Tamandua tetradactyla: one gene and its partners. The protein of the gene in region 1 binds, or shares a complex with, the protein of each later gene. Links are inferred from orthologs where the notes say so. Each region holds a gene or a part of one and is shown on either strand. Other genes may lie near its edges. The genes, in order: NLRP5, YWHAG, OOEP and KHDC3L.

What was found.
Region 2: the proteins of NLRP5 (region 1) and YWHAG are in contact, whole or in part, in a cryo-EM structure (PDB 8XI3), measured with the Mus musculus proteins. The link is inferred for Tamandua tetradactyla from reciprocal best matches to the Homo sapiens genes NLRP5 and YWHAG. Residues at the interface, in NP_035990.1 of Mus musculus: Ser1030, Cys1031, Ser1055, Gln1058, Cys1059, Pro1060, Val1061, Glu1084, Phe1087, Val1088, Lys1089; in NP_061359.2 of Mus musculus: Phe201, Tyr216, Thr220, Met223, Gln224, Arg227, Asp228, Thr231, Ser235.
Region 3: the proteins of NLRP5 (region 1) and OOEP are in contact, whole or in part, in a cryo-EM structure (PDB 8H93), measured with the Mus musculus proteins. The link is inferred for Tamandua tetradactyla from reciprocal best matches to the Homo sapiens genes NLRP5 and OOEP. Residues at the interface, in NP_035990.1 of Mus musculus: Glu173, Leu176, Leu195, His196, Gly202, Leu206, Asn322, Leu325, Glu326, Tyr337, Ile338, Leu339, Val340, Glu341, Gly342, Leu343, Ser344, Ala345, Ser346, His373, Asn625, Gln626, Asp652, Ser655, Glu661, Leu662, Cys663, Pro664; in NP_080756.1 of Mus musculus: Ser26, Leu27, Arg28, Leu29, Arg30, Thr31, Arg32, Ile38, Val41, Asn43, Tyr48, Met49, Leu75, Leu86, Glu88, Pro95, Thr99, Lys102.
Region 4: NLRP5 (region 1) and KHDC3L share a complex: the UniProt entries of both Homo sapiens proteins name them as parts of the subcortical maternal complex. The link is inferred for Tamandua tetradactyla from reciprocal best matches to the Homo sapiens genes NLRP5 and KHDC3L.

What each region holds. Positions count from the first base shown.
Region 1 is NC_135342.1:3,519,132-3,527,117, forward strand, and holds the start of NLRP5 (NACHT, LRR and PYD domains-containing protein 5), read right to left. Parts: upstream 3,014-7,986; coding exon 3,001-3,013; intron 2,019-3,000; coding exon 1,965-2,018; intron 1-1,964. UniProt on the Homo sapiens protein: Component of the subcortical maternal complex (SCMC), a multiprotein complex that plays a key role in early embryonic development.
Region 2 is NC_135349.1:10,369,592-10,376,604, reverse strand, and holds the start of YWHAG (14-3-3 protein gamma), read right to left. Parts: upstream 3,021-7,013; 5' UTR 2,833-3,020; coding exon 2,746-2,832; intron 1-2,745. UniProt on the Homo sapiens protein: Adapter protein implicated in the regulation of a large spectrum of both general and specialized signaling pathways. Binds to a large number of partners, usually by recognition of a phosphoserine or phosphothreonine motif.
Region 3 is NC_135331.1:129,285,180-129,291,977, forward strand, and holds OOEP (oocyte-expressed protein homolog), read right to left. Parts: upstream 1,862-6,798; 5' UTR 1,849-1,861; coding exon 1,569-1,848; intron 1,347-1,568; coding exon 1,167-1,346; intron 774-1,166; coding exon 694-773; 3' UTR 518-693; downstream 1-517. UniProt on the Homo sapiens protein: Component of the subcortical maternal complex (SCMC), a multiprotein complex that plays a key role in early embryonic development.
Region 4 is NC_135331.1:129,253,444-129,259,651, reverse strand, and holds KHDC3L (KH domain-containing protein 3), read right to left. Parts: upstream 1,865-6,208; 5' UTR 1,661-1,864; coding exon 1,492-1,660; intron 1,286-1,491; coding exon 1,106-1,285; intron 806-1,105; coding exon 684-805; 3' UTR 523-683; downstream 1-522. UniProt on the Homo sapiens protein: Component of the subcortical maternal complex (SCMC), a multiprotein complex that plays a key role in early embryonic development.

The DNA of each region.
Region 1 (7,986 bases):
TATCTCCCGAAACAGTTTAGAGGTAGCACTCACTGGACAATTGTTATGGACTGAACAACCACCTCGAGAAGATAATAGCTATTTCCTGCATCCTCCCATTTTTTTCTTTCTACCCCAGATCATGTCCTACTCCAATGAATTGTTATTAACATTATCGTAGCAGATGGCAGTTAGCACAGCCAGTTAGACCAGTGCACTCATAGTCCCGAGGCTATAAGTACAGATTCTACATAGATAATTCAATGAGAGGGAATATATTTCTATGGTTACAGGTACCACAGGCTCCCAGATCAGAGTAACAGCTCCAAGTTGAAGTTCAGATATGTCCCTTTGGACAAGTGACTGAACCTCTCTGAGTTTCCTTTTCTGGAAAATTGGAACTAGAGTACCTAAATTTCCGAGGGTTTCTGTGAGGTTAACAAGCAAAGCATTCAGCTAAAGGACTGGTGTAGGGCACGCATGCGAATTTTAACCATAATCTGGTCTACTAATCACATTCTGGAAGCAAGACTCCAAGTGAAGGAGTATTCTAGGTAAAAGGGTGCTCAGATTTAAGCTGCTGCTGGGGTCACATTGAGATTTTAGAATTAATTGTTTAAGTTTCTGTGTCTGTGGGTGAGGCTCTTTCAACGATTGGATTAAGCAGTTAAAGAAAGATTATTTAAAAGTGAATGAATTTAAGATTGCCATATAGAAACACTTTTACATACACACAAATTGAATAAATGTTGCCACCAAACAATTCACTGAAGAGGTTAGAGGAAAAATAGCAGAACGATGAAATAATAAGAGCGAAACCTCAGTGGTAGGTCAAGAAATCAGTATGTTCTGAGGAGAGTTCGTTTATTTTTAGGATTAGATGGTTGAGAAACTTCCTTACACAGAACTAAGAATAAATAAAAGTTGGAGGCTAAAGAGAAAGAACAAAGAACATTTCTAAGTAACCGTCTGAAGTGACTTACATCATCTCATCTAATCCTCACATAAACATTGAGATATAAAGAGTGTTATTGACCCCACTCGACAGAGTTGAAAGCCAACATTCTGGGAAGCTATATACTTGCTCTCTGTTTCATGAGAACACCTTTAAAGAATAGTTACCTGATTTTAGCATTCTTTCTTTCCCATTCCATCACAGAGCAGGAACTGACTGAAAAACTCTAAGGACACGTGGATCTAATTAGAACCCAGGTGGTGGCATTACCTTAAAATAGACACTTCCTCTTGTGAAATCTGGCAGGGTGGAGTGAAGGACATTATTCCAACCCAGGAATGATGTAGGTTGGAGTGATATAAATTAGAATTGGGTAGTCAAGTTTACCTTCTGAGGACAAATGACTTACCAAAGCTTTCACTTTGCCTCTTTCCTTCCTTCTTCTATACTTCCTATCTCTCCTGGTACATCTGTCTCCACAGGTGTCTTGAATGGTTCACTAGAAGCAGGCAAGATTAAAGTGCTTGAAATCAATTAGATCTAGGTTCGAATATTGATTCCACCACTTATTACCCCAGGAAAGACATTTAGTTTATCCACCACTGGGGTTCCTCACTTAATAAAAGGAAAGATACCCCCATGTTGCATAGCCCCTCAGTAATGGTGAATCAAGTTGACCAGTTACCATTAGCACGATTGATACAGTAACACCCTCAGTCCCGGGATTATCTGTTCTTGACCTGAGTTATAGCACCCCTACTTTGCCCTCCATTTCAGACTTAGAGTCTGGAAAGGGTGAAGGGCTTACCCAGATTCCCACAAACTCATGTATTTCAAAGGTGGACCTTTTGAGCACAATGGGGAAACGGGACTTCACTCATTCAAAGGGGTCTTTGAACCCCTGTCTCTGAGTAGCCTAACAGGAGGCACAGGGGCATGTTACAGGGCCCAATAAGTAGGCTGTAATCAGCAATGAAAAAAATAGGGGGGAACGAAAGGCATTGGGAACAAGAGAGGAGAAAGTACCCACCGACTGGATTCTTCACCTCCAAGCTCAAATCCCACTTCTGGGCCAACTGGCAATCTTGGGTGGGAAAAAAAAGGTTAGGCCCAGCCCCACACCCACGTGGTGAGGGTCAGTAGGGAATCCTGAGCCAGTGACGTCATCTCTGGTCATTGGATGCAACGGGCTCCAAATGGCCATGCTCAGAGTAGAAGTAGAACACCTGCTTTCTGCACCTGCAGGCTCTGAGTCTTCCTATCCGCCTCTCCCACCCCTCACCCCACTTGGTGGTGAGGACACTCCTTGTACACTTCATACACCTGTGCCCAGGACCTCTGGCTGCATACAGCCCTCCCCTGGTTGTCCTGGGAGCAATAATTCTGTGTGTGTGAGTGCGCGCGCACGTATGGTGGTGGTGGGGGTTCTTTATATTACAATAAATCGGCTTTTACTAACCATTCCCTCGAATTATTACTGCTGTTGTTTGTCCAAGCTATTATCTACATAAAACTCTCTTATCTTCAGTCCCCATGAACTCCTAACCCTGACTTTTACTTCTGGTCTGTTTGGCTCATTTATGCCTCCCGTTCTTCAGTATCAGCTTTCCTCACGGTCCTGACTCTGAACCAGTCCTCTTAGATTATACCACCCTTGATGTTGATGTTCCCCTCGAGCACATGCTGATGCTTCCCAAATGGCTTCTGGCAGGTGCCTTCTCAGCTCCAGACCCAGTCTTCCAATTATCACCTACGGCCTGCGGTGGGATGCTCCACGTGCATGTAAAACTCAACATATCCAATTCAAAATGTTAAGTTCCAGTGCCCAATACAGGTCTGGTACACAGCATGCATTCTTGTTTGTTATCCAATGAGTGTCTCCGCCTACATTCTCTCCTTCTCAATTCCCCACCTCAGGTATCAGAAACACTATCCACGTGTGCTGAAGTCTGCACGTTAATGCTTAACTCAGAGGGGAGTTCGTTGTAGTCCTAATTTTAATCAGTCACTAAGTCCTGTCAATCATTTCATTAAATATATTTGTTACAACCTGAAATTGGAATTACCTGGGTAATTCATGATTGCTGCTTTAAATTGGAGAGATAGAAAAAAGTATAAATGAGAAATCAATATCACTCCTTCTCAGTATATATACAAAAACATACACGTATATAGTCCCCTAACCTTATGACATATATGCATGTGTATGTGTGTTCATAAATAGATACATTATCAATCAATATCATAATCTTACAGAATTGGAATAGTGGAGTACACAATATTAGTTATTCTTTTTCTTTTGGCATGGGCAGGCACTGGGAATCAAACCCAGGTCTCCAGCATGACAGGCGGGAACTCTGCCTGATAAGCCACCATGGCCTGCCCTAGTTTTCATTTTATAAATAACTTTCTTACTGACAATAGTCTAAAATGACTAAATGATGTGTATAATATCTTACCGTTGGTTTTACTAATTAGCATAATTATCTTCTCATAGTTGTACCTTTAGATTGTTTTAATTTTGCCACTGTTATAATGTTGAATGGAGATCCTTGTATGTAAATATTTATCCCCTTTTAGTCTGACTTCATCAAGACAAATTCTTAGAGTGGAATTAATAGATCAATTGGTGTGAAACAACAAAAATTTATTTTCCACCATAAAAGAAATATTTATATAATCTCTTTTGAAAAATTATATATTTTTTCTCTAAGCTAAGAAATTATATACAATTATATATAACAGCTTAGCTTAGAGAAAACCATTCTCAAAATTTTGTTATATTTCTTTGATGCATTTATGCCATATCTAACTTTCACTTTATTAGATTCAGTCATATGGAATGTACACAAATGAATGTGCTGGCTAAAAAAATCTACTTATTTTGTATTATAAATATAACCAAAGCTCATTGTGGATAAGTTGGAGATTGCATCATCCTGAGATTGCCATATGAACATTTTAAGTTAACTTTTATCACTATATAATTGCATCAGAAACGTGTGGGCATCACAAGTTATGTAAAGCTTGATGAATTATAAATTACCACAAGATGAAGAAGTAGAGTATGACTGTTATCTCAAAAGCCCTGCTCATGCCCCCTCATGGAAACTACTTCTGCACTTCTCAAAAGATAGCCTCTAGGGTGGCCCAGGTGGCTCAGTGCAGCATTCTCGCCCGCCATGCTGGAGACCTGGGTTTGATTCCTGGTGCCTGCCCACGTAAAAGAAAAAAAAAAGATAACCTCTATCCTGATTTCCAATCACACAGAATAATTTTACCTGTTTTTGAAGTCAGATAAATGGAACTGTAGGGTGCATTCTTTTGTACCTGCCTGTTGAGCCTGTGAAGTTAATCCACACCGATGTGCATTGCAGCGTTTCATTCATTTTCATTGCCGGATAGTATTCAATTGTGTGAACGACCACCATCATTTTGTATATCATATGGCTGATGGACATTTGGATTGTTTCCACTTCTTGTATAATATGGATAATGCTCCTAATAGCATTCTCATACATGTCATTTGGTAAACATATTTATGCATACCTGTTGAATATATAGTAGGAGCTTAATTGCTAGGTCCGAGGGCACAGATGTTTTCAATCCGTTTCATCCTCACAGTTTTTCGAAGTAGCTGCTCCAATTTATACTTCCAAGGGCAAAATATGGGGGCTCCAATTATTCCACACTCTTGCCAACATTTGCTGTGGACAGTCTTTCCAATTTCACTCATTTTGGTGGCTGTGTAGTGGTTTTGACTTGCTTTACCTGATGGTTGGTGGGGCTGAGTAGTTTTTATTGGACATGTGGATATTCTCTCAAGGAAACTGTTTATTCAAGTCTTGCATTCATTTTTCTATTGGGTTGTCTGCCTTTCTGTTATTAATTTGTAGGAGTTATACATATTTATTTTGAATACAACTCAAGGATATATACTGAAAATATATATATTTTTCTCAATCTGTAACTTACCTTTTCTGGTGAATGCGTTTTTTTTTTTGGAAAGGAAATATTTTCTTTCCTTAGGTCACAAACATCTTCTGCTATGTTAACTTTTAGAAGGTATAATGTCTTTCCTTTTGTATTTACATTTACAATATTCTTGGAATTGCTTTTGTATGTGGTGTGAGATAGAGATTCAGACTTGTTTTTTCTGCGTGTTTGTCCATTTGATTTAGCATCATTTGTTGAAAATTCCATCCTTTCCCCAGTCCTCTGCAATGTCAACTTGCCATAAATCAAGTGGTCATGTTTATGGAGATCTGTTTATGAACATGGCCTCATTGATGATAGTGGACCAGGATGAGGTTCTATAGAACGTCCAAAGAGCTCAAGATTCTTTTGGATGATAATGTAAACATAAGCAAAAGAGTTAATATAGACTTTCAAGCAAGATAGTGTATATACACTTCTGTCCTTCCCAAGTCAATGTGAACTACTTCTGATCCTCTTCCTGACATTTCTGGTAAGACTGGAAGGAGTGCTTTCGCCATACCAAATCCCATGGCTCTTTTGACCTATTTAAGACGGCACAGCTGGCACAGCAACTGCAATTGGGGCTTCCACTTAGTTAAGCTTAACAGGAGCCCACTGAGCCCAGGACTCACCTGGTCAATTAAGTAGGGATGTAACAGGGACCACCTCCCCTGGATCCTTGACGTCTTGAGGGCGGCACTGATTTCTGGCATTCCACCTGAGATGCTGTCTTTGCCTGGGGGGGTTAGTTTCCAGGGCTTCTGCTGGGCCTTTCTCTACCATTATGGCCTTTACTCCAGAGGTCAGGGAGCCGATGGAATGACCATCTCCGTTACACACTCAGGGGCCGTGAAGGTGACCCTCTTCAGACCCCCTGGACCTACTGTGCCAAGGCCTGATTTATCCCCTGGTGTCCACATGCCTCCATCCAACCTGGGGCTTTGATGGTACCCTCTGTCTCATGATGACGGTGTTGACTCAAATGCTATATCCAGTAGTCCTTGAATGCCCTGACTATTCTATTCCCAGTGGGTTAGCCTAGTGGATGGCCATGTGGAAATCACTGTTGTTCACACTTGATGTGGTCTGCAGGGTCTGCCTCAAGGGGCCCTTCTATCAGTGGCTTTGGGTCTGGGGACTATATGGAAATCTGTTGAGAGACAATGGTTTTCACAGAGCTGCAGCTCTGGCACGAGGCTTCTGCTCACCCAGTCCTATATCTTCTTTGGTAGTTGCCCACCTACTTCACCCTAGCAACACTACAATCTCTTTGCCACCACCAAGAAGGGTGTCTGATTCTGTAAGTATGTCTGGCTACCATTCTGGCCACTTTGCCCAAAATGATAATTCCATCTACCTGGCCTCTACTAAATCATGCTCTTACCATTCCCTTGCTGCCAGGAAGCCTGTTTCAAAGGTTCCCAAACCTCACCGCAGAATGGAATCAGCTGAGCAAGCCAAGAAACCCCTATGCCTAAGCCACACCCCATTCCACTTAGGTTGCCTCTCTGAGGCTGGGAACCAGGCAAAGGTATTTTAAAGAGCCAGGTGTAATACAATACGCCACAAAGGGTAGGAAGCACTATCCTACTTCTAGCTCTTCTCGTGATGCCAGGAACTCCGTCACTGGTAAATTCCCTTAGTGCCCTCACAAAGCAAGTGACTCAGGGCCCTTTTGGGGAGTACAGTCAGTGGTTGGGTTCTCTGGATTTACACAACAGCAAGCCCACCTCTGAACCTGCTGATTTCAGATAAGGAAGTTCTGACACCTCTACCTTGCTCACTGTGGACCATCTCAGCAGAGCACTAAGGTCAGCTCCAGGTGAACTTGCCCAGATGTAAGTTGTGTATCACAGAGTCTGACCTTGATGAACCTTTATTTTCATCCACATCTTAAGAATAGGGTGGGGGAAGGGATGGTGAGGATCTCAACTGCTCTACCTTCTAAAACAAAGCCCCTTCAGAGAGTTGAGAAACCAGTATGGATAATATCTGACCATTACCCTGTGTGTAAAAGGACTGTTGTTTAAAAAGAAAAGAAAATGGGATTGCTTTCTGGTCCTTTGAGTTCTAAATGCTGTCCTAACTACTTTAGAATGCTCTCCCCACCAATCTACAGGTAAATGAATAACACTTGAAAAGTTTGTAAGTTGCATTTACATACATTTTCAGCTGAATTCTTCCAAGCCCCCCCTGGAATAGAGACAGTTCTTAGAGATGTTTCCATCATATATTCAAAGACATCTAGTGGTCAGGGGCAGGGGGAGCCTGGTGGATTGGAACTCTCCCTACCTGGGTCCCCTGAATCCAATGACCAACGGCCGTCTAACACGTGTCCCTCAATTCCAAGGGGGCTCTTTGGGGGTCATGACCAAACCATTTTCCAGAACTAACTCCAAGCCTCAGAAGGGTCCACAGAATAGGCAACCTTTCCAAATTTTTCTTTAGGAAAACAGTGTCCAGGGGGTCAGAAGATCAGTCCATTTATAGTATCTTATAGTAGCGCCCATAGTCCCAATTTTGTATTATCCTCAGGGAGTGTTTTCTCACTTCTGGACCCTCCAACCTTGTCAGCATATCCACTTCATGTCTCTCTTTCATCTCCCTGGAAAGGATAAAACCAATTTTTTTCTCTTACATTTATTTTATTTTATTTTTCTGTAGTCTTAGAAGAGTATCCAAAACCTGTGGATGGAAATTTCCCACATAGGAGACCAGCCTGGTCCCCTGGAGAAGACTGAAACCAATGATTCAGTTCTCAGGAGCTCAGGTATGGAGTCAAATGCTTTGTTCAGCCACTCACTAGTTGTAGGAGGTGGCCTCTGAGATGGCCCCAAGGCCCTAGCCTCCTGCTATTCATATCTTTGTGTGTTCCTTCTCTCAACTGAGTCAGGGTTTTATGTGTGACCAACAGAACAAGGCAGAAATTATGGGATGTCACCATCAAGATTAAGTAATGAAAGACTGGGGCTCTGTTTTGGGCTCTCTCTCCCCCTCTTCTTCTACCTTCCTTTCCCTTTCTTTTGGATCACTTGTTCTGGAGTAATCCAGCGTAATATCATGAGCAGTTCTGT
Region 2 (7,013 bases), on another chromosome or scaffold:
AAGCAAACTGTTACTCTATTCTTTCCACTCCTCCAAGAGAGAACAATTCAAGCCACATGACTTAGAATAATGGTTGGCAAAATTCCACCTCTGAGGACTCTAGAGGTGTCAATACTCCATTAATGATAATAGCCATTGATCTAGTCTCCTGGGAGGGCTAGAAGAAAAAAATAGAAAAAAGATAAAAAGAATTTTAAAGCCTATTGACCCCACTAGAAAGATTTTATAAAATATATAATTAAGATAGCCTTTTGGCTACCTATATATCACTTGAGTGGTACCACTAAGTATTTACTTGGTACCTTATGGTATTTTCCAAATTTTCCATGATGAGATCACTTTTATACAGTAAGAAACAAAGTTTTGCAAGTAATTGCCATTTTTGAGCACCTAAATCCTCACAAACTTTTTCTAACAGGTATTGCCCCATTTTACAGATTAGGAAAGTGAGGGTCAAAGTCACCATAACTGAAAAGGTTTTAAGTTTCTCCATACTCTGTCAGAGAAGTAAAAATACAGCAAGACAATTTTCCCAAAGATCCATCTAAAATGAATTTGATAACTCGTTTGTAATGTGGTCTCATCATCTAATGACCCAGGAGGACAGCCATAATTCTGAGTTTTTATCAAAATCTACCAAGTATCTGTAATAATCCTAAGTATGCAGCCCCCTCCACACAATTATAAAATATACTCGTTTTAAAATTTGTTTTTATTCCATAATCGGCCAATTACTTAAATAGGTGAAATGAGTGTGTAAAAATATGAATGTATCTTACAAACTTTCCTGGGAAAACTAGATAGGAACTTCAATAAAGCATTATCTAGAGGTCACTAATGTGCATATGTAAGGATACCTCATTATTTTTGGACCCACAGGGCCATTCTATTGCAGAGCTCTTATCTGGAGAAAGATGAAGTCAATCCCACTATCAACTAATTTCTGCATTACCTTGGACAAATGCCATTTGCAAACTCCCTACCAGCCCTTAGGTGCATTGCAGCCTCTGTGTCATTGTGTGTGACATCACTGGGTTGCTATGGATATAGGTGCGAGGTCACTGGCTTTCCTGTGAAACTAGAGATATGGAAAAATTAAAATAATCTAAATAACATGAACAGACATTTTCAATTCTGATATCTATTAAAAGTGCAATTTGTGTCATTTGAGCTTTAAAATATTACAGGATAGCAGCTGTGGCAATATAGCATATTAATACACCAGAACCCTCAATTCACAGAATCGAATTCCCCTCCTTAATAAGAAAAAAAATTTTTTTTGTTAATGTAGCTTGTTTAAATATAAAGGCATCAGCACTGTCATCTTCTGGGAACTAACGTAGTTACTCAAGAATCAACCTCTATATCTATATTGTTTCATCACAAAGATTTAGCATGCAAGGTACGCTCTTACATTCATTTCAAACTGGAGATGCATTTTAATACCTTTGTTACATAAGACGGGAAGTTAAATATTAAGATAGTGGGAGACGCAAAATCATTAATTTTTTCCAAATAATGTTCAAAGCTTCCTCCTTCCTTTAATCTTAAACTGGTTGACCATTCACTAGGTAAATGTAATGTTACTGACAAAATGGTGCAATACAGGCAGGCATCTGTATCCCAGACAAAATGCGACAACTGGAGGACAGTATTCTCTTTTCATTAGCCTAAGGATGCACTGGCTTTATTTAAAAAAAATAAAATTAAAATTAAAAAAAAGGCTCAAGTCTATGTAACAAAGCAAATTAAAAAAAGACATTTTCCCCTTTAAAACAACTCCTCCCAGCCTCCACCCAGTCTAGGCTCTCTGCAATATGACAAATGCAGAATCTTCTGGAATGACTTGATACTGCCTCCCACCACCGCTTTGTTTGCAGTATCAGATCAGAAAGAATTTTTTTCAACTTATAGGAATTTCAACAGACGCGTGGCTGTATTTTAAAAAAAAACAGCATGTCACAAATTGACAACCTTTATTTTAAAGCCATTATCTGCTCTTTTCAATGCAAAGCATTAGGAAAAAATGGAAACGGCATGTTCGAACAATTAACAAGAACACGCTAACGAAACAGACGGTCCCCTTTCCTAAAAGCCTAGAGGACTTGCTTTGGGAAATGGAGAAAGAGAAGCCTTTTGTTAAGTCAAACATGAGCAAGAAGGCGACGATTTTGCACCACTGACCCCAAGATTTCAAGAGAGCCTGAATTTCTCTGGGAAAGGTTCTAAAGGATCTGCAGGAAAGCAAGAGGAAGATGGAGGGAGCGGGGGGGCGGGGGGGGGCGGCTAGAAAAAGAGACCTGCCGAGTGAATGGGAAAGGCGCCGCCCAGACACCGGGGAGAGAAAGAGGAACCGCTTCCATGCGGTCCCCCGCCCCCACGCCCTAGGCTGGGAGGAGGGGAAGTGGGGCACAAAGGATGCGCACGGCCCCGCTCAGGTCCCCAGCGGACCCGGAGTACGCGGGGGCCCGGAGACCCGGCTCCCGTGACCAGCCCCGCAAGACCCCGCCCCAGCCTGAGCCCGGGTAGGGCCGAGCAGGCAGCGCCTCCGACCCTCGGGAACGCGCAGAGGACACGAGCCAGCTCCCGACCGCCATCTGGACCCTCCACATACCCCCTCAGCGAGCGAGAAGGGGGGACCGAGCCTGCAGTCGCGACAGGCGACAGGTCCCGGAGCCCTTAGGGCCAAGGTACACGTTTCCGAAAGGGTTGGGGCGAGGCGGGGGGAGGGGAGAAGAAACTCACGTTCTTCATGGCCGCGGCCATGTCGTCGTAGCGCTCCGCCTGCTCAGCCAGCCGGGCTTTCTGCACCAGTTGCTCGCGGTCCACCATCTTCGCGGGCTGGGTCGGGCCGGACGAGGAGACCAAGGCGGCCTGAACGGCTCGGAGGGCGGCTGCGGCGCGGCGGGAGCCCGTGTGCCGGAAGGACCGACCCACAAAGCGACCAGCTTTGGCGGCGGTGGCGCGGAGGCTGCGACTCCAGCTGCGACCGCGGGACCCGGCGCGAGGCGGCTGCGGCGGCTGTGCGTGCCGCGGGCGGACAACCCCCTGCGGCCCCGCCCACGCCGCGTGACGCACGGGCTCCGCCCGCCGCGCGCCCCCGCCCAGGCCCCTCCCGGCTCCTTCCGCTGCTCCCGCGTCCCCCCTCCACTCAGCTCACCGCCCCAACCCCCCACCTCTTCTGGCAGTCCCCTCCTTCCTCGAAGCTCACCAGCACCTCTTTTCCTCCACTTGACCCCCGTTCCTTCGCCCCAACACCACCAGACACCCCCACCCCCACCCGTTCCCCTCCAGACCACCGCCCCGCCGGGCCGCCAGCGCGTGGGCCCCTGGGAGTTGTAGTTCACCCTCGGGCGGGGTGATCTTTTGGACCCACCAAGGACAAAGGGGCAATGGAGACTACATCTCCCAGCGGGTGGAGCGCGCGGGCGGAGGAGGATGGGGAGGGGACTTAAATCTGGCGGCCGCTGGGGACCCCTGGCGGGAATGAGAGCTGCGTCTGCCCGAGTGAGTGCTGATTCACGGCCCCGCCCCCTATTCCCCGGGAAATTACGAGGGAAGGGGCAAGGGCCTCAACTCTGGGCCCTGTTTCCGAGGTGAAGCAGCAGGCCATGGAGGTTGAGAGGGTACCTCCATCGTAGAGCCAAACCGTCAGGGTGGGATCTGCCCGCGGGATGGGTGAATTAAGAGGCCAAACCGTGGGGGACTGTCACCCCCTCCTCCAAGGAGCCAGCTCCCCATCCCCACCCTGAGGTTTTGGGGCCTGACTCGGTAAAAATATGGTGAAAACATGAAAGACAAATACTGGCCCGGCATACCAGTCAAGTTACAAAAAGGATGCAGCTGTGTGCAGGTTGACCCCTGGAGGCTCCTTCTTCCTCTCCAGGATGGAGTGCTGCAGATTCCACTGCCAGTTACCAAGAGCCTACCTAGGCTATGCTTAGGACTAGGTTGTGTCTGGACATACACGCTGAGGTCAGACCGACAAATCCTAGCTCATAGGGTTCCCTTTTTGAGATTCCGGGTAGCTCCCACACACTCCATAGTTTTGACTGCAAATTTTCTTTATTTCATTTATTCAACAACTATCTATTGACCACACACTATGTACCAAGTACTGTCCTAAGCAATGGGGTACAGCAGTGAACAAAACAGTTTAAGCTCCTGGCCCACATGGAACTTAGCATTCTAAAGGGGAAACAGAAAACAGGCAAGATAAATAATCAATATGTAGACTATGTTGGAAAGTGATACGAAGCGAAACATAAAGTAGGGAGATGAAGTGCGGGGTTATGTGAACCTAGAATGAAAGAGATTCTGTGAAGGAATATTCCAGACACTGCTAGATGCTGGAAGAGGAGAGCATGGAACCCTGCCTTCAAGAAATTCAGCATGTCTTAAGTACTGTAAGTATTCATAAAAAATTCTTCCAGGCTGGATAGGAAGAGTAGGAAGAGGTTCTAAAAAGCAGCATTTCCGACCAGCTCTTAAAGGATGTGTAGGATTTGAAAGCAGGCAGAGGGCAGAGGCAGCAAGACTCAGAGGCAGGTTCCTTCCTGGCATATTTATTGGCAGGCAAAGAATCTGATGTGTCTGGTGACTCAGGTGATGGGCAGTGAAGCTGGGGATGGAGCCAGGAGTCAGAACCTGAGGGGCCCTGAATGCCAGGCTAAGGAGTTAAGTCTTTATTCTGAAATAAATAGGATGCCTGAGATGGATGCAGAAAACCATCAGAGCTGCATTTTGATGGCTTCATCACCATTGACTCCTCGGTGCCTGGCACAGTACTTGGCACTTAGTAAGCACATGGGACATAGGAAATAAGGAAATGAATGAATGAATGAATTCACTTCAGGAAGACTGCTCTGTCAGGAGGGTAAAGAGATGGACTGAGTGGAGAGAGAGACTCAGAAAATAGCTGACTCTCCTCCAACACAGCATCTGCCTTGGCCCCTCTTCCCTTACCACACCAACCCAGCAAAATGCAATCCTGTTGGTGAATAAACCCTCCCACTTCCTTCTGTCTCTTGCATGAGTGGTTCACCAAGTCATTCCTCTCTTTCTTTTGCCCCCCCCTGCAGCCTGGCATGAACCACTGTAGTCTGGGCATCACGAACCCATGGAAATGAGCCCTTACACCCAACCCTGGTTGTCCACAGATGGATTAAATGTGTCACTGGTCCAGGCCCAGATGCTAAATCTTGGGAACTTCCTGGCACATTTCTCCCTGCCTCTCTGACCTCTCCCCTCAGTTCCTTCCCCCACCAGACCAATATGCTTAAAAAAAAAAAAAAAAAAGCTCAGGCCAAATCTAGTTGGAAAAAGTAAAGCAGATGCAAAGAAAAGGATGTTCGAGAGCCAAACAGGAATGACATCTGCAGTCTCTACATCGAGGCTTCCCTCCAACAGTGCAGGGGGAACTGGCCCTGCCCCTCCTTTCCTGTTGGATTTTTTTGAGGCTCTGGGTTTAAAGCTACAGCAGCCCAGCAGCCTCTGGCTGTTGAGAGGACTGCCTCCGAGGCAGGGCGACATTACCCGCAGGGAATAGCTTAATATCTGGGCTTCCGTCTCCACTGCCTGGTACTGCTGAAAGAAACCTGAGCAGACAGGTGGAGAACTACTATTCTGGCTTCTGCCTGGTCCCCAGCAACATGTGCAAGGCCTGTCCTTTCTCCATGTCTCAATTTCCCCACCTTTAAAGTGAGAAATTAAACTGAAAAAGCATTAAGGGCCCCACCCATCCAGGATGAGTCATGGTTCTAGATTCAGCATGTGCCTCTTATAAAATGGAAGGCTACTAGAATTCTTTATCTGTGGTAACAGGAGTCTGTGCCTGCAGATGTGAGAGAGGGGCAAATTCCAAAGGTAGAGAAACTCAGAATTGTCCCTGTTTTTTAGAGAGAGAAACTGAGACTCAGAGGGGCTGTGTGACCTTTGGCAGGGCCTGAATGCAAGCCAGGGCAGATCTTCCTGATTCCCAGTAGCAAGGCTGCCCTTCCTGCCGGGGCCATGAGGATCTACCCCATGGCATCTGCTCAGGAAAGGAGAGGCATTGCCCTCGGGTGACAGTCCTAATGCAGGGACACTGGGTAGGCACCTTGTATGGCTAACCTTCTGTCCCCATCTCCAATGAGGGAGAATATGACCTTTAAGTGCATCCTCTCTGGCTGAGTTGGCAGACAAGCAGTCCAGCCAGGTACATTAGTGTCCTGCTGTTTCTGTGCACTCATAAATCACTGCAGCCCTATCCCCTGGCTCCTGGCTTCCTCCTGCGGCTGGAAAGCTCCCTGATTGGTGCGGAAGCAGCAGCAGGAGTAGCATTTTCCAAAGCAGACCTGCAATGCTCCATCCTGCCCTCTGGGAACACCTCCCCATCATAGCCCTAACAGGCTGGGCTGCAACAGGGGCAGAGCACAGGACAAATTCAGAAGCAGAGGATGACAGGGAAATGCCAGTGGGCTGTATCTCCTCCTGATTATTCCAGGGCAGTGGAGGGGCCCCGACTTTACTATTGATCTTGCTGGATGGTCCTGGGCAAGTCACTTTACCTCTCCAGGTGTCAGGTTATGAGTCTATTTGTAAAAAGAGCAGGAGGACTACTTCTTAATATCTTCCAGCCTCTTGCAAAAGCTTTCCAACTGTCCTGCCTTGGAGTCTTCCCATCCTCTTCAGTGGCTGCCTGAAGGTCCTGTTGACAGGGAAATTCTCTGCTCCAAGTCACCTGGGGCTGACTGCTTGTCACCAAATTGGCTTCTCTAACTCCAGAGCCTCACTCTAAAAATGTGAGTTTAAGAGCTCTTAAAACTGATTGGGCTGGGGAAAGGAAAGATGAACAGTTTAATACATCTTTACATTCTAAGTTTTCCATTCTACAAAAAAGAGATAACTTCAAAATTCACCCCACCAAGGGAATGTGGGTCACCATAAAAAGTGGGCCGCTGTCTCAGACAAAGAGTCAGACCATGCATTCTCAAGAGACAGAGGTTTCAGAGCAGAGGAACTAGGCTTGACTC
Region 3 (6,798 bases), on another chromosome or scaffold:
TAAGGAACTAACTAGACAGCCTCTCAGGTGCTTGGGTAACAGGTGTGAGAAGGAGAGAGGTGAGGGAGGTCAGGGGGTGACTGATACTTAGAATAGCTAAGTTAGGATCTGAAGTTGTTGCCCACCCACCCCTTGCAAACACAGAGCTGTTTTTCTCTGCAATCCCAAAGCTGCAAGATTATTTTTAAGATAGTCAGGACAGGAAAGGGAGGGGGTATAGGCGTGCAAGTAAACCTGGCAGCTTGGTCAAAAAAAAAAAACAAAAAACAAGACCAGTCTTGTTCACCAAAACAGACTGGCCATTTGTGAGGTCATCTGCCCCTGCATCTTTGTCCCCTGGGTTTGAGGGCCTGACCATAACCATAAAGCCATAAAAGTTCCAAAATGGAAGGAAAAAACAAGAAAAAAAAAGACACTGCTTAGCTTTCTACCTAAACCTAGAAATGAACCGAGTCAGTCTTTTATAAATTGGAGTAACTTTAAGTGATCAAAGATCTTTGGCCATTGGACAAAAAAAGCAAGGAAATTCATTTCTTTATTGGAAGAACACAAACTCACATTTGCACCAAAATAATCAAACTATTATTCACTGAGACACAGGAGACTGGAATGAAAGTTGAACGATACTTGTTTTCCTTCAACTTTAGTAGCAGAAGGCTGGCTCACAATACTCCTGAGGATACTCATTCTGTCTTAAGCAACAGGATGCTGGGTAGTCTGGGCGCCTGATGCATGAGACTTTAAGAAGTCCTCAAGTCGTTTCATCTTCTCAGCTGGAGGAAAAACAATTGATGCCGACCACCAGTTTGGAAAAGTGCTTGCTGTTTTAGACTGTACTGTACTTGTTAATAGGTGGCAGTAAGGGAAGGTGCTGGCAACACCGTTTCTCGGGGTGGAGACATGAACCGGGATCTGGGAATGGTGATGGAGTCCACCTGTAGTTGGCTTGGGCAGCGACGGGCTCCCAATTACGCCAGACCTCTGCTTACCTTTCCGAGACCCTACCCCGGGCTCCCTCCCAAAGCGATCCCCAGCAGCTGGGTACAGCTTCTTGGGGCTTGGAAACTCTGAAGAGTTACTTTCAGAAGAGAGGCCGGAAGAAGCCAGGCAAGTCCAGAAAGGAGATACGTGGCTCTCTCCACATGCAGGTTCGCCCAGACCCTCACCTCTGAAACGACGTTCCCGGTGTAACGCTGCCAGACCCAGGAGAATGCTCTTCACCCGGTTCCGTACCCGCGGCCGGCCGAAGACGGTGATTTCGGCGAGGCCCTCCGAGTCTACTGTGTCCACCATCAGCAGAGCCTGGCTCATCCACTCAATCTTCGCAATGGTTGCTCTGTCTGCGCCTAAACAGGGAAGGAGAGACTGTGAGCCGCGGGGCAGTCGCGGGTTTGGCGGCGCTAGATAAGAAGGGAATGTTGCTGGGCCGAGGGAACAGCTGGGGGCTGGTGTCCTTGGGCTGGCGCCAGACGCGCGCAGGCGAGTCCGAGAAGGCGGCCGCAGGGTTGCTCTGCAGTCCGCTCTCCAGCTGTGGGGGCTAGCCTAGGAGCAAACCCCCGGTCACCCACCGAAGATCGGGTCCACCAGCCATGCCTCCAGGTGGAACACCAGCGGGTCCTTCAGGTCCTCCACGGGAAACCACCACGGTCGGACGCGAATCCGTGGCACCGGGAGTAATAACCTGGGCAGGCTGCTGTGGGACGCCGCAGGCACCTGCTTGTCATCCTGGGCCTCAGCAGGACGGGCCTCCGCAGCGCGGACCCCGGCAGCGTCAGCGTCGTCCACCATGCTCAGGACGGTGCGGCCCTCAGGAGAGTCCAGACCCCAGCGAAGCCCACGCCCCCTCATCCTGCATTAAGGTTCCTGACCAGCCCCGCCCCTTCCGGCAGAGCTCACGCCCCCCGCCCCCCATCCCTGACCTCCGGATTTAGCTGCCACGTGGAGGTTGGTGCTCCCACCTGGGCGCCCTGAGGCGCCTCCTGCTCTGTGTCAATCACTCAGGCTTCACTTCGGCCTTCAACAAGAATTTATTTGAACTCCAAACATGTCTCCCTTGCTCTTCATTGTCGGCCCCACCTAGTAAGGTATCACATAGCCTCAAAGGTCCCTGCCCCAGCATGTAACTCATTAACAATACGAGGTGGAACTGGCGACCTTGTTGACCTGGAATCACCTTTATCGCCAAGGTTAAGGTCTCCACCTTGCCCTCCAGACGTAGGTAGGTAGATCAGGTGGATGGAAGCAGGTTCCTTGAATCTGTAAAATCTCTCCTCTCAGCCCCCATTATCTTCTGACTCTTTCCAGAGGGTTACTATCTCGAAATCATTCAAGCAAAACTGTGTCATGTTTTAAATAAAATGTCAGAGGTAGTCATTATAGAAAACGTAGCTGGTGTGGACAAATACCGTTTACTCCCACCATCCTAAGACACAACTTCTACAGATGACACTTCTCTCCAGTATTCTCAATTTTAATTAAATTTTAAATTGTGAAAGGTTTTACATATGCACAAAGTAATAGAACACCCATTTACCACCGCCACGCCCAAATTTAACGTATGTCAAAATTCTCCCACATTTGCCTCTCTTTAAAATTATTATCATGAAGGAATCTTCCCTTTCCCTCTCTAGTGGAAATCATTGTTGTAAATGCACAATGATTTCCCAATAGTTCTATTTTTGGAGGACTTTCAATTACTAAGTAAACTGCTTTGGAGGATATTTCAGAACTTCCTTACCCAAATGAAAACAACTCTGAACAAATTATAAATTGCATAAGTTTATCTGCAGATTCTCTGCTTTAGCACCTAAATCAATTACCATACGATACAATTTTTACCTATTCACCCCACAGTAGAAACTGTACTGAAGTATGGTCACATTATGCCATCTTCCAGTTAATAGAATCATTTATTGTATTACCTCCAAGAATATAATTTTTATTATGTGTCAAAATTACCAGCTCAACATGGGGCACTCATTCAGTGTTTACTGATTCACAGGTACATGAATTAGTGTCCAGCTTCTACCTCCTCCTTAAGCGGATGGAATTATTTAATAAAAGTTTGATTCAGGACAATTAACCCTTTACACATATTTATGATTTAGGTTAAGTTATAGACTAGTGTGGAAAAAAACTATAATGACAGGGAGCCTACACACTCAATTCAAAATTTAATTTTTTCCTTCCTTAAATACCATGCATTTGATTAGACATGAGGCAGCTATTTTGTTTTCAATAGCCACATTTAGGGATACATTCATAGGACTGGTTAGATAGTCCAGGCAAAATGGTTATAGTGTCATCCCAGAAAATTCATTTACATATCAAAATCTATTTTGATATCTGGAATTTTATAAAAAGAGTGAAGTTCCTCAAACTAATGCCTTCTGTTACTCAAGCACTCTTCTCTTGGCAAGAGGAAGCTGAAGCTTATCCATGAAAGTTAAAGGTGTTTAATATGAAACCTTTCTTCTGAGCTTAGATTTGGGCTGCTTAAGAAATTGATGCTTGAAAAACAGCATGGTCTTTGTAGATTTTTTCTGTTTTAAGATTAGAACTCTATATATTCACTCATCAACTACCTTCCTTTTCTGTATTCTTGGCACTCGATAAGACTGTTTATTATACTTTCACATTCTCAAATAAGAATTTAGGATTATAAATGTGCACAAACATTTTGTAAATAGTATGTTTGGAGAGATGAGACTTTCATACCAGAATTTTACAAAAGAGAATATACGTTATGAATCAACCTTTCTTTTGAAGTAAAGTGAGAAAAAATTCAAGGCCTGTGCACGTTATAAAATCTAATGGGGGACAGGCCATGGTGGCTCAGCAGGCAGAGTTCTCGCCTGCTATGCCAGAGACCCAGGTTCGATTCCTGGTGCCTGCTCTTGCAAAAAAAAAAAAAAATCTAATGGGACATTGTAATGGAACATCAGCATTGGCGGTCTAAAAAATTTTAAGTATTAAAGATGGGATTATGGGAGGAAAAGATAAAAAAAATTTTAGTTTCCCATCTTACAAAAATTTATCAACCCATCAAAGCCACTTGTCTACGTGCCAGAAAATATTCTGGTATAAGTCAATTCTTTCAGTAGAGGAGGTCATTGTGACATGTGCATTATTAACACTTCCAGACTTCTACTTTTCCAAGCATAGAAGCAGTATGTTTAACATTTCCACTCTTCCCCAAATCTTTAAACTCAACATTGTTGGCCGAGTGTAATCAAATCTGGGATGCTCTGCAACAGATAAGTAATAGCACAGCTATGTTCTCAAAAATACTGCCTTGATATTCTTTGTAATAATCAAACACTCAGTGGCCACAGATTTAGCAGCCAACATTAGCTAACATTAAATGACTTTTTTTGTGTGTGTCACAAGTCTATCTAAACTTCCTTTTAAGTCCTTTTTAATATATTTAAGAGAAAACACCTGCTTCAGTTTTAATTAAGGGCACTAACCCACAAGGACATAAGCTCCATTTTTTAACAATGCTGACTACAACTACTGATGGGGTTCACTGAAGAAAAAGGACAGAAGGAAAAAAAGGTAAATCACAACAAACCTCTTAGGTCAGTTAAAGGCCATATCTCTAACTGGGATATTAAAATAAATTAATCACACCAGCCCACATTCTAAAAGTTAATGCCACTAGTAACAATCAACAACAGGAAAAATAAACCTGATAACAGCCAGCCCACGCATTAGCAAAAAGCAGTTTAACTCAAATACTGTGACCGAAGTGTAAACACTTCCTAACCGAACTGCCCCATCCACCTCAACCACCAGCAAGGAAGAGAGGAAAAACTGCTTAAAGAAACAACCACAAAAGCTTACGTATTTCTTACAAAGACAATAATGGTCCAGCTCATGAGACAGTGCTCAGAAAGACTAAAGGGGGATGAAAGCAATGTTTAGGGATTAGGATCCCACAAATAATCTTTAAAAACCCAAAGTATCACAAACACACTAACTTGTCTATGAATTAGAGAACAAAATTTTGGTGCTGCTTCTTTTTTGTCTTTTGAATATACAATATTTTGTAGGCTTTGCCCTTCAATGTGAAAGCTAAAAATTTTGAAATTATGTGACACCCCAATCTTTGGGACCATATATCTTAACTGTGAAACTAAACATACCTATGTAAGAATTCGAGAGTTTTGCCACGCAAAGGAGGACTCCAAGAGACGTTCTCTCATGCAACATGCAAGGGGTTTATTTACCACACATGTGTGGGGCTCACTGAACACGCAGGAACAGAGAGCCCCGAGCCTGGGTTTGGGGAAGTTTTTAAGGGGTAGGAGGAGGGGGGTGAGGGTCGAGCATGGGTCACGAGTGCTGCTTCATGCAAGAAGCAGATAACAAACACTTTTGCAAGAAGCAGATAACAAACATTGTTGCAAGAAGCAGATAACCGCCCCTGGGAAGTTCCGGGTTGTTTTTCTTAGCCTGATGGGGCCCATAATTCTTTTCTTTACAATTCTTATCTCACACCAAATGCATAGCAGTGAATATAGAATGACACAAATGCTTTTGCTGGATATTTCTATCATTCAGAAGCTAAAATATATGTAAATAGCTAAATTAAGCAGGAAAAATTAGCTACTGTTAAGCTTATAAAATCCTTCTTTACATAAGAAAAGTTAGCTACTGTTAAGCTTTATAAAATCCTTCTTTACACCTATACCTTCTCCTTCCTTCAATGAAACCACCTCACAAAAGTCAGAAAACTAAAACAATCCACACATGACCTTGAAAATATTAAAACTTTAAGAGAAAAAGGGAGGAGAGAGACAAAAAGTAAGGAGGGGAGAAGCTTTAAAAGAAAGAAGGGGGAAAAACCAATGAGACTCTTTTATTTGGCAAAAGGAAGTGCAAGAAAGTTCATTTGTAATTTGCTCAGTTATCTGTTTTTTGCACATCTGCATTCTGGCTAGAGGAACTTTGAGGTTTTTCTGCCGCACATGAGTGTCTGCGGGTTCTATCGTCTTATAATAGTTCTTCTTTGTCTCAGTAATCTCAAAGCCAAACTTCCTGCAGCAGTCAATTGCCGACTCATTACTGATCTGGACTTATAGATACATGTTGTCAAAAGTGCCATCTTTTTCACAGATGTTTAAGACATGATATAACATTTTAGTGTCTATTCCTAGCCCCAGTAAGGTGCGAGACATCCTGGTGTCATCATGTAAAGTCTCTTCTGATTCTGTGAATGATCCACCCTCCAGCACACTGCAGCTACTGCAATATCAGTGAAATAGGCAAGTTTTGCTAGCTCTCCAACCTCCAGCACATCCTCGTAGAACTTGTCATTGTAGATGACTGGAAACATGACTTAGTTTGATCTCTTCAACTGTTTAATATTGTGTGGTGTCACATCTCCCAGTTGATCCGCCTACCTTGCATCTTCTCCACCTACAGAGGCCCTCGTTAGCACTGATATCAATGCCTTCGTCACCACTGCCCTGAGCTCTTCGTGCCCTCAGCTCAGACCACTCAACCCCACAGTCAGTTTACTTTCCAGGGGCAGGGAGCAGGTGACAGGGGCTGCGAGAGTCAAGTGTGGCCCTGTGCCTCTGGAGAGGGCAGAGATGTCTCCCACCACTGCTTCTCCCTCTAGTGTCTTCTTGATCTCCTTTATGTCATTAGTCATCCCATTGATTTTATTTATAAAATAAATAAAAAGAGTTGTATGAACATCTTTGATTAGTTGTTCCAAAGTCTGTGTCTCCTCCAGTGTCTTAATTTGGTCATTAAGCTGAGCTGTATCTGTCTGCATTTTCATATGTT
Region 4 (6,208 bases), on another chromosome or scaffold:
GTACTGTCTCGCTCACCTCAAGCCTAAGGCAAGTTATGGTAACCCCGGCAAGACTTAATTAACGAAGTCAATGGGGCAGCCCTGGCTCTTTCGCCCACAATTTCACCCACCAGGTCAGGTGCCAGGGCTAGGAAGTTACTTGCCATACCATGGTACGCCCGGGTGGGTCTTCCCAGTCCAGCAGGGCCCCAGCCTCAGGGCAGAGATTGCAATCAGGTTTTTACCATTTCAAATTTCCTCGAGTAGAACCACGAGCTGCTGGGGGCAACTGGGACTTGGGTTTCACAGCAAGGACTGACTCAGTACACCCTAGAGGCCTTGTATCCAAGCAGCGCCAGCTGCATACTGTTAAAAATCACAAGCAGGAGAGGTGCATGACGGCAGAGGTGGCCAGGAACTAAAAGGTCGCACCTGCCTCTGATAGTGGCACAGAGCAGAACTTGAGTGCTGGGGGAGGGTACCTCCCCCTCTTCTTCTACCTTCTAATTAAAAGACGCTTAGGGAAATTTGATTCTTTATTAGAACTCTTTAGATTCGGGTTCGCAAACGTTCAACACTGGGGAGGTCACACCTACACCATTTCCCTAATTTCTAGGGCCGAAGCAGGACCTAGAATAACAGGTCTCAAGAACAGGCTTTCAGTTTAATTTTTGCTTGTCTCCCTTCCCGGGGCCGAGCTGCCATCACAATCTGGTAACTGAGTCTTGGGCAGGTGCCTTCTGAGGCTGCTGCTTCCCGATCTCCTGGGCGGCCGCTTCTCCAGACTGCTGCTTCCCGGCCTCCTCGGCAGGGGCCTTCTCTGGGCCTGGAAGACAAGCAGCATGAGGAGGGTGCCCCTACGCCCCCATTCCCCCTCCCCAAAAGTCCAGTCATCCATACGTGCAACGAAGACGGGAGCCGTGAGCTGTTCCTAATCTGGAGTCTACCACGGAATCTCAGAACTGGGGCCCAATTTGGTATTCCCGATTCCTTGCCAAGAGGAAATCCTCTCCCGGATCCAGTGGGAGGGGGAAACCGCTGTCTGGGCCGCGGGGGACTATCAAGATCCCTCCCAAGGAACCCAGAAAATGTCCGGGGCACCCCTCTCTGCTCCCCAGCCACGTACTTTGAGCCCGGAGTTGGCGGTGATAATCTGCTAAATTCATGACCAATCTGGCTACGTCGTGCTGGTAATAAGGCCGTCCAAATATCAAAATCTCGGCCTCGCCGCCGGGGTCCCACCGGTTCACGTGAAGCAGGGTCTGGCTCGCACACTCGACGTGCGGGATGTGCTCTCCGCCCCGGCCTGCGCAGGGAGCAGAGAAGCCGTGAGGAGCAGGGTGGCTCCTGGGGACTTGAGGGGAAGGGGGGCGAGGGAGACCATGGGGGCACAGGCTTGGGGGCCAAGAGCACTGGACGGGCTTTCCCAGGGCCGGGCCGGATTGTGTGTGTGTGTGGGGGGGAATGAATGGGGAGGAGGGCATTATGGCGGCCACACCCAAGCCTACTCACCGAAGATCTCTTCTACAAGCCAGGCCTCGACGTGAACTGCTCGTGGATTCTTCAGGAACTCAGGGTGGAACCAGTAGGGCGGGTTGCCGAAATTACCGAGCTGCTCGAAACGCTGTCCTTCTCCCTGCTCCAGCTGCACGAGCGTCGGAAATTGCTTGGGAGCAGCCATGCTGCGGCCGGCCTCGCGGGCAGCGAGCGCGGGAGGGAGAACCGAAGGGCAGCACTCGGGGATGGGCCGCGGAAGCTGAGCCTGGGCCTGGGCCTTAAATCAAGGGCTTTTGGCAAGCCCCTCCCCACCCCGCGCCCTTCCCATTGGACCCTAATTCCAGCAGCCCGTATCTTTCCGCGGCCGTGCGAGGGAGCTGGAGCGGCCCGCGGCGGCTGCGGCTGGCGTGCCTCAGGTCTCGGGCCGCGCGGGCTGGGAGCCCCGGAGCGGTCACGTGGTGAAGCTCGCCAGGTTCCGCGTGCGCTCTCCGTGGGGCCATTCGGTCTGGAAACTCGCCCTCTTCCCAGAGCCGCGGGAAAGGAAAGCCGAGCTGCGAGTTTTAGCAGCCAGCTGGAAGTTGCCAGCTGGAGCTGCGAGTTTTAGGAGCCAGCACAGGTCCCCACCTCGATTCTCAGGCGCACACGGTGGACATAACCGTGGACTCAGAAAGGTAGAGAAGAGCGAAAATGGAGAAAATATTTCAGAGTGAAGCAAAGTGGTATTTGTGGAGATCCGGTGCTACTCAGACAGTTCCCGTGGGATCAGCTCATTCCTGAGAGGTTGACATAATTTTATTGGAAAACCTAATTCAAGAAGCTGGAAAAAGCAAAAATTTAAGCAGTAAAAACAATGTCCAAAGGTTAAAGGCAAGTCTCCCTTTTCTCCTGAACCGTTGCCACCGAGTACCGGCCCCAGGGACCACCACTGTCCAGCTTCTCCAGTAACATTTAGAGACCAGTTGAGCACAGGTAAGCCTTAAATACGGCCACACAAACACCCAGTAGCAGACGGTCCAAGTAATTTGGACACCAGGAAGGTCGACTTGAAGCCTTTTTTGACACCTCAGTTCTCTAAATAACGCTAAATATTTCCATTTCTTGAGTTTCCTCTCCAGCTTAAGGCATTATCAGTTAACCACTCACTCAGGAAGGTGAAACTATAGCTCCGGAGTCAGTAGTTGGGAAGTACTTATCAGACCCAGTGGTGAGAGGTCATCAGAATTCAGAGGCCTCCTTCCTGTACTGTTGGTGGGAGTGCAGGAAAAGCTGTGGATGTTTTAGGGTCAGACTTAAGCAGAGACCTAAGTAGATAAGTATTTATACATAAATTCATTCAAACGATCACAGGATGGAGTGGTAGACTTCTGTGGGTAGGTGGAACAACTAGATGAGTGTACAATATAAACTCAAGGATCTGGGCTCAGTAACCACCTCCTCTGGAGGTGGTGAGGTAACACCAGCACTGCCATAGCAATTATAAATCGAAATTTGAGGTCCCATCGGTGTCACCAACACTCCAGGAAGCATCCCAGTGAAAATCTCTGATCAGATGCGTTTCTTTTACTATAAGGCTATAGGACTGATACCATTGTTTCACAGCATAGAGGATATTGGCAGTTCTAAACATGTTCAACTTTTTGTATGAATAAAGATCTTTCATGCCCTTAAAGTTTCAGTATTGAATATATAATATATAAGAATAAAAACGTAGTAATACTAATTGTGTTAAAAAGGAATCTGCCATTTAAATAAAATCCTAGAATATGCAAGCCTACAGGTGAGTGGTTGCCTGGGGTCAGGGATGGAAGGAGACATGGATTGAAAACCTCTGCACTAGGAAACTCTTATGGAAGATGGGAATGTGTGGTATCTCAACTGCTGTGATGGTTTCATGGTTGTATTTATATGTGTCAAAAATGATTAAATTGCACACTTCTTAATATGTGCTGTTAATTGTACTTCAGTTATACTTCAAAGCAGTTAAAAGAAAAGAAATCATACATATGATGTTTTATGTTCTTGTAATATTTTAGATAAGAAGGCTATTAAAGAGGCAGTGTTGCAACTCCAATTTAAAATATGCAGTTAAGTAGTTGATATAGATTTGTGGCTATAAGATGAAATCTTAATTTACAATTAGCATTGGACCGCTGAAGAGAACTTAAGGTCCACCACATTAATAATATTAATTTGATATGTAGGTATTATTTAGTAGTTGGGAAGGCCTTATTTGTTAATAGATATGAGCAAAGTACTTTGCAAAGCTCTTTGACATGTATGAAGATGTTTAGTTAAATTAGTCAGTAGAATCTGGTATCATTCAGAGGACATGAAAAGTAATTTTGAAACTTTCTAGATTTTTTAAAGAGAATATTTGAAAGTGAAACTTGAAAGCCTTAAGGAAGGGCTAAAGGTTTGGTTTTTATAATTTTTAGAAATCAAATATTTATTTTCAAAGAAGCCTCTAGATACATTTTCGGGTGCACAGAAACCACTCCCAGGGCATCAAAATACACACACACACATATTTATACTAATCTTTCATTCCCTTCCCCAGTTTACTTGCATACTTCAGATCGGGTATCCTCCCAATCTCATCACATCATGATTTTCTTAGATAAATATTCAGCGTTAACACTTTGTGAATATTATTCTTGGCAGCATATAAGTTATTGATTTTTTTTTTCTCTTGCACAAAATTTTGCTTTTCTTGCTGTTATTGATTGCCTTTTGGTTCAGATGCTGATTTTTTCTATGTACTCCTCCTTTATTTCCAAACTCTCTCCAACTGTATAAATTTCCCCTCAGTACTTTCAAGTACCTCTTGTCAGCATTACTTCTGCAATTTTCTTAACTGCTCCAATCCAAATTAGCTGCTCTCCAGGGCCAGCATTCTGGGGCCCTCCTGTGAATTCCCAAATCCTATCTTTGACTTGGATCCTGGGCTCAAATTCTCTAGTTTTTTTTCTGTGGAAGAATGCATAATTTTGAGTCCTTACATCTAGGAAAAAAATTTTTTCTATCCACATAGTTATTTGGACATTTAGCTGGCTATAAAATTCTGGGTTAGAAAAAGAAAATTCCCTCATAATTTAGTGCTTTGCTTCATTTTCTTCTAACTTCAGTGGTCATTATGGTCTTAATCTTTGGGAAATATTCTTGAATTATTTTGTTAATAGTTTTTTCTCCTTCTGTTTCCTCTTCTCTTTTTCTAGACTTCCTGTTATTCAAACATTGACCTTCTGATAGTCAATATGTTTCAGTGTTTTGAGAGGAGAGTTATATAGGGGGCAAGGGGGGAGATTGGAGTTGAATTAATGGTAATAGTGAGCTAAGCAAAGGTGAAACTTATTAACTCCAGAGAAAGCGAAAAGGTTTATCAGCATAGGAAAGTATTTATAGTATACTGCGTTGTTCAATTATGAATAATATTCATGTAAATACCCAATATTGTTTTAATCAAAATGACAACAAAACTACTGGAAGGATCAGTGATTTGGAAAAGATGGGTAAGGATGGTGGAGGAGATAGTTCTCCTCTTTACCTGTTGGAAGTTGAAAAATCAAGGGCTGGTAATCAAAGTATGTTACTTAGAGTACTGAATGGGAGTTTGGGGTAGAAGAGAATCTTCTTTTAACGGGTCTTGAAGGACTATTAAATCCTCATAAAAGCACGTATAACTTTTTCAAAAAAAGATTAAAAATTACCTATACCAAATTTAAAAAAGTTATGCCTGTGAGAAAGTTGGAAAGTTAATATTAGCTATCATTTCTTTGCTTTGAGCTAACTAAGTTACTGCAACAGCACTGTTTTTTACTTTTCAATAAAATTTTTAATGTTTCATTGAGAAAAAAAAACATTGGCCTTCTGGACTGATCCCCTATATGCTCTTTTTTCTTTTCTTTTCCATTTGTTTCCTTTATGCTGTCTTGGTTGTCTGGTAATCATTAAGACTTGGGAACTAAAAAGCTAATTGGATCAGAGTGATGCCCCAATAAATCCCAGAGTGATCTGAACAGTGAATAAAAATGTATTTGCAAAGTCCCCTTCAGGGAATGGTGAGAAAGGGGGAAAATTCAACTTCCCCAAGTTGAATTCTTGATATTCTCACAAGCCGTGTGGACAACCAAAGCTATAGCTGAGCTCCCAGTCTTGGGGTTTGTTCATATGAAACTTAACCCCACAAAGGATAGGTCAAGCCTACATAAAATTAGGCCTAAGACCCTAGAATGAGCTGAGACTTAGCATCAAGGGATTGAGAAAACCTTCTCGACCAAAAGGGGGAAGAGTGAAATGAGACAAAGTGGCAATGGCTGAGAGATTCCAAACAGAGTTGAGAGGTTATCCTGGAGGTTATCCTTACGCATTAAGTAGGTATCACCTTGTTATTCAAGATGTAATGGAGAGGAGTCAAGATAGTGGCTTAGCAATGTGCGCGTTTTAGTTTGTCCTCCAGAACAACTACTAAATAACCAGAAACAGTACAGAACAGCTCCCGGAGCCACATCAGTGACCAAACACACAGCGTACCCCAGTCTGGACCAGCTGGACCGGCTGCAAGCCTCCCCAAAACCATGAGTTCCCCAAGCCACGGCGCCTGGCGTCCGTCCCCCACAGGTGGCTTCCCAGAGGAAAAGGAAAGAGATTCTAAACCTGGTCAAGTGGCGTTCGCTCATTGGGCTCACAGAAAAAGGAAAGGGGGAGGAAACAGGTTTTAGTGGCTGTGTTTCTA